Linked DNA regions of Oryza sativa Japonica Group. Each later gene encodes a partner of the first gene's protein in a complex. Links are inferred from orthologs where the notes say so. Each region holds a gene or a part of one and is shown on either strand. Other genes may lie near its edges. The genes, in order: dolichol-phosphate mannosyltransferase subunit 1 and dolichol-phosphate mannose synthase subunit 3.

Region 1 (4,472 bases):
ACTTGAATATGGGAAGGGCGAGTGCTTTGGTTAACAACATTGTGGAACCTATAGGCTATGTATAATTTTAGTGTGGGACCCCCGGACCAAATCACATTGGACACCTGATCCAACCCAATCAAATAGGCAAAGCAAGCAACCAGAATGCAAGACGCCTGATGGCCGAATGCTAATTAATGCCAGATGCCTGACGGCCAAACACTAATTGCAATCTGCATCCCACAACTTAATTTATTAAATTGATGGATTGCTTTCAGATTAATTAGGGGTATTGGGCATTTTGTTTATTCAATTATGTGCACTGCCACAACTGATGCTTACCGTTTACACTATAATCGGTAATCGGCAGTCAGCCAAGTCCTTAGGTAATTAACTGATAATTGCTTTGTAGAATTAATTTGTGTGATCGGCAGTCCACCATGTTTTTAGACATTTCCTGAGGAAGCATGACTGATATGATACTTGTGAGATGCTTAGCAAGCAGAATTCATAGCAAGTAAAATTATCTCCTAAACAAGAGCAAATAACATAGCGAGACGAGAGAACCAACTGACTAAACATTTGGGGCCCCGTATCATAAGCAACCCTGCCCAAACCCTAGGTAAACAATTTTATGACCCCAAAATAATAAAAGCACAAAATCTTTATTGTTTGAGGATTTAGGAAGAGAGGACATCACCTTAACCTGGAGTCTGTACTGCGTAGTGCCGTAACCCACCACAGCTCCCCGGCGGGCGCACGCGAGGAGGAGCCGGCCGACGGCGATCCCAAAACTCCAGAGGCCACGCGCGAGGAGGCGGCGGCGGTGGTGGAGAAGGCGCCAGCCGACGGCGAACCTGACTCACCGGCGGCCGCGAGGAGGCGGCAGCGGCGGGGTAGGGCGAGCGTCGGGCACGCGCGAGGAGGTGGCGGGGTAGGGGGCGCGGCTGCGGCGGGTGCGCGCTCGGAGTTGGCGGCGGCGCCCGGCGGTCCGGCGGGCGCGTGCAAGGAGGCAGCGAGCGGCTCCGGGAGGCGGCGACGGGCTAGCGCACGGGAGAGAAGTTTTTTTTTTCTTTTCTGCTTCTTTCTCGTGATCGATCGCTATATCGCTATAACCGCTGCTAATCGAACGTGGGGATGGCTAATTGCAGAGGTTGATCTAACTTTTGATATAAATCGTTGGATGAATATATTTAAAGGTCAGTAAAGATAGGTATTTGATGAACTCGTGCTTTTTATATTAGTATAGATATAGATGACGATGATGACCGTTTGAATGGGAATGCTTGCTTATGTAAACTGAAACGGTCTAGACTGGAGTTGGCACGAAATGCGGTGCTTCCTGTGATTGGCCTGTCCATTCTCCATTGGATTGCATGGTTGGTCTTTGCCAAACCATACCGTTTCTCTTCTACAGGCGCATACAAAGCGTTTGCTTGTCATGGGCTAGACACGGCCCATGGAAACACGTCCATGGTCTGGATACGGCCCACGCTGCGGCCCTATACATCTCAATGGACCTTGCGGTGGCGAAGCAACTCCTCGACGAGACTTCACGCCGGCCGCCCTGCTCGTCGTCGCCGGCGGCATCTGCGGCGCGCGCGCGTCATCCTCATCCCCAGCTAAGTGGCCTCACCGTCACCGAGCGCCCGCGTCGGATCGCGTGCGGGAGAGAGCGGGGGGCGGAGAGATCTGGTGCGAGGTCGAGTCGGGGCGCCGGCGATGGCGGACGACGCGGGCGGCGGCAGGCGCGAGTACAGCATCATCGTGCCCACCTACAACGAGCGCCTCAACGTCGCCCTCATCGTCTACCTCATCTTCAAGCACCTGCCGTAACTCCCCCCATCTCTCCCATCTCTATCCCCCCATCTACTGTTGATCTGTTGCTCTTCAGTGGATCGGAGAAGGTTGTTGTCAGATCCGGATTAGCCATTCTTTTAGATTCAATTCGCGCCTCTTGTGATTTCACAAGAACATATGGAAAGTATAGAAGACGATTACTTATTGATCCAGTGCAATTGAGACGATGTGATGATTTGATCACTTTCAGATTTTAGCTATGCTCTCCTAGACACCCTTCATCGGTGCTCCTGAGTGCAGCTAACTTGCTCAATTGTGCTAATAGAATGCTGCGAAGAATGTTACTTTGCATGTTGCTTGTGTCAAATGGGCAGATAGAAATCCATCCAACTCTTTGAATTGAGTGATTATTTAAGAATGCCACCAGACAGCATGCTTATGTTCAGTCTACAGTATATATTTCATCATCGATTTATACTGCTAGCGTTCCATCAGTATTCAACTCATTATGCCCGTGTGTTCTGCAGCCCTGTCCCTGTGTCTCTTTATGACAAGGCAGTTTTATTTATTTTGTGAACTCTTTCGAGTTATAGTATCTCAAACTTTAGATTTCCTCATCAGGGATGTCAACTTTGAAATCATAGTTGTGGATGATGGAAGCCCTGATGGAACTCAAGACATTGTAAAGCAGTTGCAGCAAATATATGGTGAAAACCGTGTTGTAAGTATTTTTGTATAGTGCTCCCTTTTGTCTAGGTCTTTATATATATATGATTTGTCTTGGTATCATGGCTTCCTGATATGTGTTTGATCTGACATGAGACCAGCTGCTGCGAGCTAGACCGAGGAAGCTAGGACTTGGTGAGCTCCTATCCTCCATTCAAGTCTAAGGTGAATTTAGTCTTCACATTTGAGTTAACTAACAACTGGAAATGGTGCAGGTACTGCATATTTACATGGACTAAAGCATGCCTCTGGGGACTTCGTTGTTATCATGGATGCTGACCTATCTCACCATGTATGTAATTCCTCAGTTTTTCTTCTATCTGATATTTGGCATGCTTAAGCTGGTGTTTTCTTCCTTTTTGGTTGACGCCTTTTTTCCTACTCTGAACAGCCGAAGTACTTGCCAAGCTTCATTAGGTAAGCATCTTATCTTTGAAGATGTATTCAATCCAGAATTTTCTTTGCAAAAATAGTCTGCTATAGCTCATTTTCCTCATCAATATGCTTTTGTCAACTCTAAATGGAATTGGTATAGCCGTATAGGTATTAAATACTTTAGTGTTGCTGAAAGATTGTTTGTGTCAGATGTTAGAAATATCTGAAACTTTAGAGCAAAGTCCATTACAGTTGGACTCTTACCAAGGCTACTACACTGATAAGAAGTAACTTAGAAGAACCTTTGCCCTTTGGGTTAATTGTCCTCTTTGCATCACCAGGAAGCAAAAGGAAACTGGTGCTGATGTTGTAACTGGCACCCGTTATGTTCAGAACGGTGGTGTCCATGGTTGGAATCTCATGCGCAAGTTGACTAGCAGGGGAGCAAATGTTCTAGCACAAACATTACTACAGCCTGGAGCTTCTGATTTGACTGGATCATTCAGGTGTGTCTCCTTTTCCTACAATAGAGTAAGCTCCACATAACTACTATTAAATTGATGCAACATTGCGACCTGATTTCCTAGGCTATATAAACGGAATGTCCTAGAAGATTTAATCTCCTCGTGTGTCAGCAAGGGATATGTTTTCCAAATGGAAATGATTGTTAGGGCTACCAGGAAAGGTTATCACATTGAAGAGGTAGATTATGTATTCCCATTTCTCTTTGTATGATTGTATTGTTTTTTTTTTGTACCTGGCTATATGGTAGTATTGTTGGCATGCTGCTTCTTTGAATGCTGAAAATTGTGATTTATATTTTTCAGGTTCCAATAACTTTTGTCGATAGGGTTTTTGGAACTTCAAAACTTGGTGGATCTGAGATAGTTGAGTATCTGAAAGGCCTTGTTTATCTGCTGCTCACTACATAGGGAAAAAACCGCTAGGCGCTTAACTGTATCAGACACAACTCGTGATAGAGGAACTTCAATTTGTTATATCTACAGTTTTGAGTTGCGTGAATTACTGATTTTCTGACTTGCCAGTGGGTTCTCGTACAGTGTATTTGGTGTGTAAGTACACTTTCATGAGCAAGGGCAAGAACACAATTGTACCATCTATATATGAACTGCAGAGAAAGCTTTGGGTACGGTTGCTTGTGTTCTACACTTTTTTTAGGTAAACCTCAAAGAGGACTGGGAGCAACTGTTTTCATTGAAGAAGAAGAGACTTGGCCCAGTTTAATATCTGAATGAGTATGGTTTGATGAACGAGACTCTCATGGTCTGACTCGTACACGAACTAAGCAAGATTTATTTGATTTCAGTGAGATCACCAGGATATCAGGCATTTGTTTGGACGTGTTACCCCTGGAAAGTTGATTTGGGCGGATGATCATTCCTGCTGGAGTTCATCAGATCGGTAAATAAAACGGCGAGACACAAACAAGAGAGAAAAGGAACAATGACAAAATTTCCTACACAACCTTAAATGGAAACTGTGGCATATAAAATGGCATCAATGACACCCATATGTTGGTCGAAATATTTTCGTAAGCATAAAGAGGAATAATAATCATGAGATCTTTGCAT
Region 2 (3,824 bases), on another chromosome or scaffold:
TCCGGACAAAGCCAAGGCCACTTCAACCCGGGACTCCTGCGACCTCCTCACACCGGAGCTCGACTGGCAGCGCTTGCCTTCTCTTCCCCTTCCAGCGGCGCTCCGGCTGTGTCGAGAGTGGAGACGGGCGGACGGCAGTCAAGCCTCTTCGTGGGCCGATTTTTCTTACGTGGGCCGCGACAGCTTAGCTTGTTCGTTCCTGTGTTCCATCGCTCCCGTCCGATGCCGATCGAACGAATCAGCATGGTCGGACGTCCCTCAGAGGATCCGGTTTCCAACCGGAACCACCTCCAAATCCATTGCGTCTGCTAAGCATTTCATGCGCTTGAGAAGCACAATCTAATTATTTTAGAGAAAATCTAATAAATGTCATCGATAAACTTAACTTTCTAAGTACAAGCGTTTTTGCCTTAGAAATGCCATCATTATTGAGTTTTCGTTAGCATTCCTATGTAAAGTGTTGTAATAAAATCATTTTACCCCTACAAATTATTAAAAGTTCACTAAAACTTTTACTCTTTCCATTAGTTTACACTAATTTGTAGTTTGCTCTTTACGCTAAATTATTTACGTTGATTAAAAGAGTAAAAATTTTTATTCATCTTTCAACAATTCATATCGGTAAAATAGTCTATTTATAGCACTTAACAGAGGGTTACTAACAAAAGCATAACATCATCATCCACTAACAATTATTACATCTTAAACATCATGTAAGCATGCTATATTATCTATAATTTTATAATTTATTAATTTTAATACAAGCATGTTTAATCATCATCCCACATAATTCACATAATATTTCAATATATCTCCAATCATACCGTGGAGACAAATTATAGTGGGCTTGCCATAGCACGAGACTATTGCTAATAGATAACTCATATTTAATTGTGCTAGAGAAAAATAAATAAATTACAATTTGTACATGTATCCTTAAAAGTTTTGATGTGATATCATCCTTTAAACATTCTTTTTATCTACACAAAAACGAACTTTACATTTTTGTTACAATTTGGACCACCTCATTCTATCCATCAAACTCCAAGTCCGGTGACTCCACCATCGCTCCACCTCCAAATCAGTGACTCTGCAATCACTCTGCACACTAACTCTCTCTCTCATTTTTCTTTTTTCCTTCGACAATTGGGGAATCGTCGGATATAGTAAGGAGGAGTCCAAATCTAGCATCTTCGCTTTCTGTTGGGTTGGCTCCTGCCTCCCCGAGCCCTGTAAGCCCAACAATCCCATCCTTAACGACGACCATGACAATAACATGTATAACAATGAGGGAAGAGAAAATACATGTCGAGATTTAAAGTGTATGGCTGCGCATACGAAGGCAGAGTGGAGTAACGATGGTGTGGTGCTGGTGTATAGAGCGACAGTTAGTTGCCAGGGATCCAAGAAGTTTATCGTCGTGAGTACTGCTGGCAAGTGGTTTACCAGTTATCGTAAAGAATTTTAAAGTGAAAATTTTGAGATAAAAGGTGGAGCACTCCGTTATCTCCCCCTTCCCTTGGCGTAAAACAAAATCTCCCGTCTCGTCGTCGCCGCCTCCGCTCCTTGCGCCATCTCGCGGCTGAACAGGGGAGGGGCGCCGATCTCCATTGGCGAGCAGAGCAGGGCGCGGGAGGGGAGGGGATCCTGGTGAGCATCCACATCCTCTTTCCGATTTATCTCTCTCTCCCACCGGGAGTACTTTTGTCTGGAATTTGCTTGCGTCCGTTAACCCTAGCTTCTCTTCTAGATCTGGAAGAATATCTTCTCTTAATTTCAGAGCCTTAACCTTAATACAAGTAACAGTTTGTTTGTTCCCCAAAAAGTTTAGGGGTTCAACTGAATCCCCGTGTCCCAAGTTGGATCCGCCCCTTCATGCTTGTGCTAAGTCTGCTGGACTTCCTACTCGCCATGGGTCTGCCTTAGTGCTAGCATACTGAATTGCTAGTGCAATTATGCTTGCAATTCATCTTTTGAGACTGTAACATTCGGGCACATTTTATTTGCCGTTCTCATTTGGTTTATCTTGGCAGAAAACACTTGGTTTCCCAAATGAAGCACATATTCAAGATAATTGCTATGCTGGTGGCAGTCTCAGCTATTTGGATTGCCCTTCTTGAAACCGCGACTGTTCCTCGAAGTTATACTTGGTTGGTCAGTGCTATCAATTTTCATCTCAATTTCCTTGATGATTGTAGTGCAAGATGATTAAGGATAAGGGCTTTATTTATGACTTTTTGTTATTGTAGCTTCCCATCTACTTGGTAGTGGCACTTGGATGCTATGGCCTTTTTATGGTTGGATTTGGGCTTATGTTCTTCCCAACTTGCCCGCAAGAAGCTGTACTACTACAGCAGGTTAGTTGTTCTAGATCCATGAGCCTAAAATTTCTGTGCATGGGCCTATGATGATCTTAATTAGTTTGAAACTAGGACTTCTATGACTTGAAGATGTTAGTTAGTATATACCAGTGAAAATTTTCGACTTCCTACTCTATCTCCCCCCTTTATTCTCTGTTGATATGAGAAATGGGTGTTCAAGGTATTATTATGTGATGTAAATGAATATTTTTAAAGTATGCAGTTTGCACTATGGTAACATGAAAATCTTCGCAATTGCCGTTGCATGATTCAAAGGAAACAACCCAACTGATATTGAGATAATTCACACTTCCATTCTGCTTCAAAGAAATTATTAGTCTATTCTCAGTTGTATTTACTTAATTTGCAGGATATCTTGGAGGCAAAGGAATTCCTATCAAAGAAAGGTGTTGATGTTGGCTCTGAATAATGTCAAGATCGATGATAGATGACTTGAGGCTAGTTTGGGGACAACTTTGTGCTCCCTTATATGAGTTGTTTTGGGGGCTTTATAGCTAGGTATATGTCACTTCGTAATGATCATTTTGCTAACACAATTTTTCATGGTGAGTCCTTGTTACATACTGAATTTAAGACCTTTTTCTTTTAGGAAATATTTTTTATGGAAAATGAAATATGATTGTGAAGTAGGAATGGTCTGTTGACAAGTGCATTACTGTTCAGGGTGTTTGTCTCCTCATTTCTGGATTTCCCTCTAGTGGTTATGTATCAATTGTGCAGTGTAATATTACCTTGTCCCTGGCACAGTGCTGAAACCGACTGCCTGAAATACTCTGTACATCAGATCGTCCATAGAAATTTCTCTGAATCTTTTGCATTACAACTTGTCAGGCAGGCACGAAGCCTTGACCAATATTACAAAACAATAGTAAAATCAGACATGATACACGTATACTTTTAAATTATGCAGTAAACCTATGCTAGTTCTTAACCCTATCTTGCTTATCTGACAGTAAAAATATCACACATCATCACAGTTCACACCAAACCTTGCCCCTATGAACCAGCTATCACACTGTACATAGTAAAACATTTTCAGTTACAGCACAATTGTGTGCAGATGCAGCAGACAGAATCCTACCTACTACTACCTTGAGGTAGTAGCAACCAACGACGAGACCTCCTTATTGGAGGCTGGTTCATCATCGTCTCCGACTCTCCGCCTCCTTGGAGCCCCTGCTTGCAAGAGTTCTCAGTGGTGAGTAGTGACATCGTCACAGCTGGTTGCTACTCCCTCCGTCACAAAATAAATCAATTCCTTATGTGTAGGTTTGTGGTCAGAAATTGATTTATTTTGGTATGAATGAAGTATGTATCTTATGTGCATGTTCAGAAGCAATGGCAGATGAAGAAGGAAGGCTTGTATGAGTAGATGACAAGGCCAGCTGCCATGCCAGCAAAAGCAACGAAGCAAATCCAATCAACCTGCAAATGCTCAAAATT

The links.
Region 2: dolichol-phosphate mannosyltransferase subunit 1 (region 1) and dolichol-phosphate mannose synthase subunit 3 share a complex: the UniProt entries of both Arabidopsis thaliana proteins name them as parts of the dolichol-phosphate mannose (DPM) synthase complex. The link is inferred for Oryza sativa Japonica Group from reciprocal best matches to the Arabidopsis thaliana genes DPMS1 and DPMS3.

The regions. Positions count from the first base shown.
Region 1 is NC_089037.1:35,602,428-35,606,899, forward strand, and holds dolichol-phosphate mannosyltransferase subunit 1, read left to right. Parts: upstream 1-1,515; 5' UTR 1,516-1,701; coding exon 1,702-1,811; intron 1,812-2,400; coding exon 2,401-2,500; intron 2,501-2,606; coding exon 2,607-2,640; intron 2,641-2,720; coding exon 2,721-2,797; intron 2,798-2,896; coding exon 2,897-2,922; intron 2,923-3,221; coding exon 3,222-3,386; intron 3,387-3,467; coding exon 3,468-3,582; intron 3,583-3,707; coding exon 3,708-3,812; 3' UTR 3,813-4,030; downstream 4,031-4,472. UniProt on the Arabidopsis thaliana protein: Transfers mannose from GDP-mannose to dolichol monophosphate to form dolichol phosphate mannose (Dol-P-Man) which is the mannosyl donor in pathways leading to N-glycosylation, glycosyl phosphatidylinositol membrane anchoring, and O-mannosylation of proteins; catalytic subunit of the dolichol-phosphate mannose (DPM) synthase complex.
Region 2 is NC_089036.1:31,991,740-31,995,563, reverse strand, and holds dolichol-phosphate mannose synthase subunit 3, read left to right. Parts: upstream 1-1,521; 5' UTR 1,522-1,650; intron 1,651-2,033; 5' UTR 2,034-2,052; coding exon 2,053-2,154; intron 2,155-2,249; coding exon 2,250-2,357; intron 2,358-2,730; coding exon 2,731-2,790; 3' UTR 2,791-3,159; downstream 3,160-3,824. UniProt on the Arabidopsis thaliana protein: Regulates the biosynthesis of dolichol phosphate-mannose. Regulatory subunit of the dolichol-phosphate mannose (DPM) synthase complex; essential for the ER localization and stable expression of DPMS1.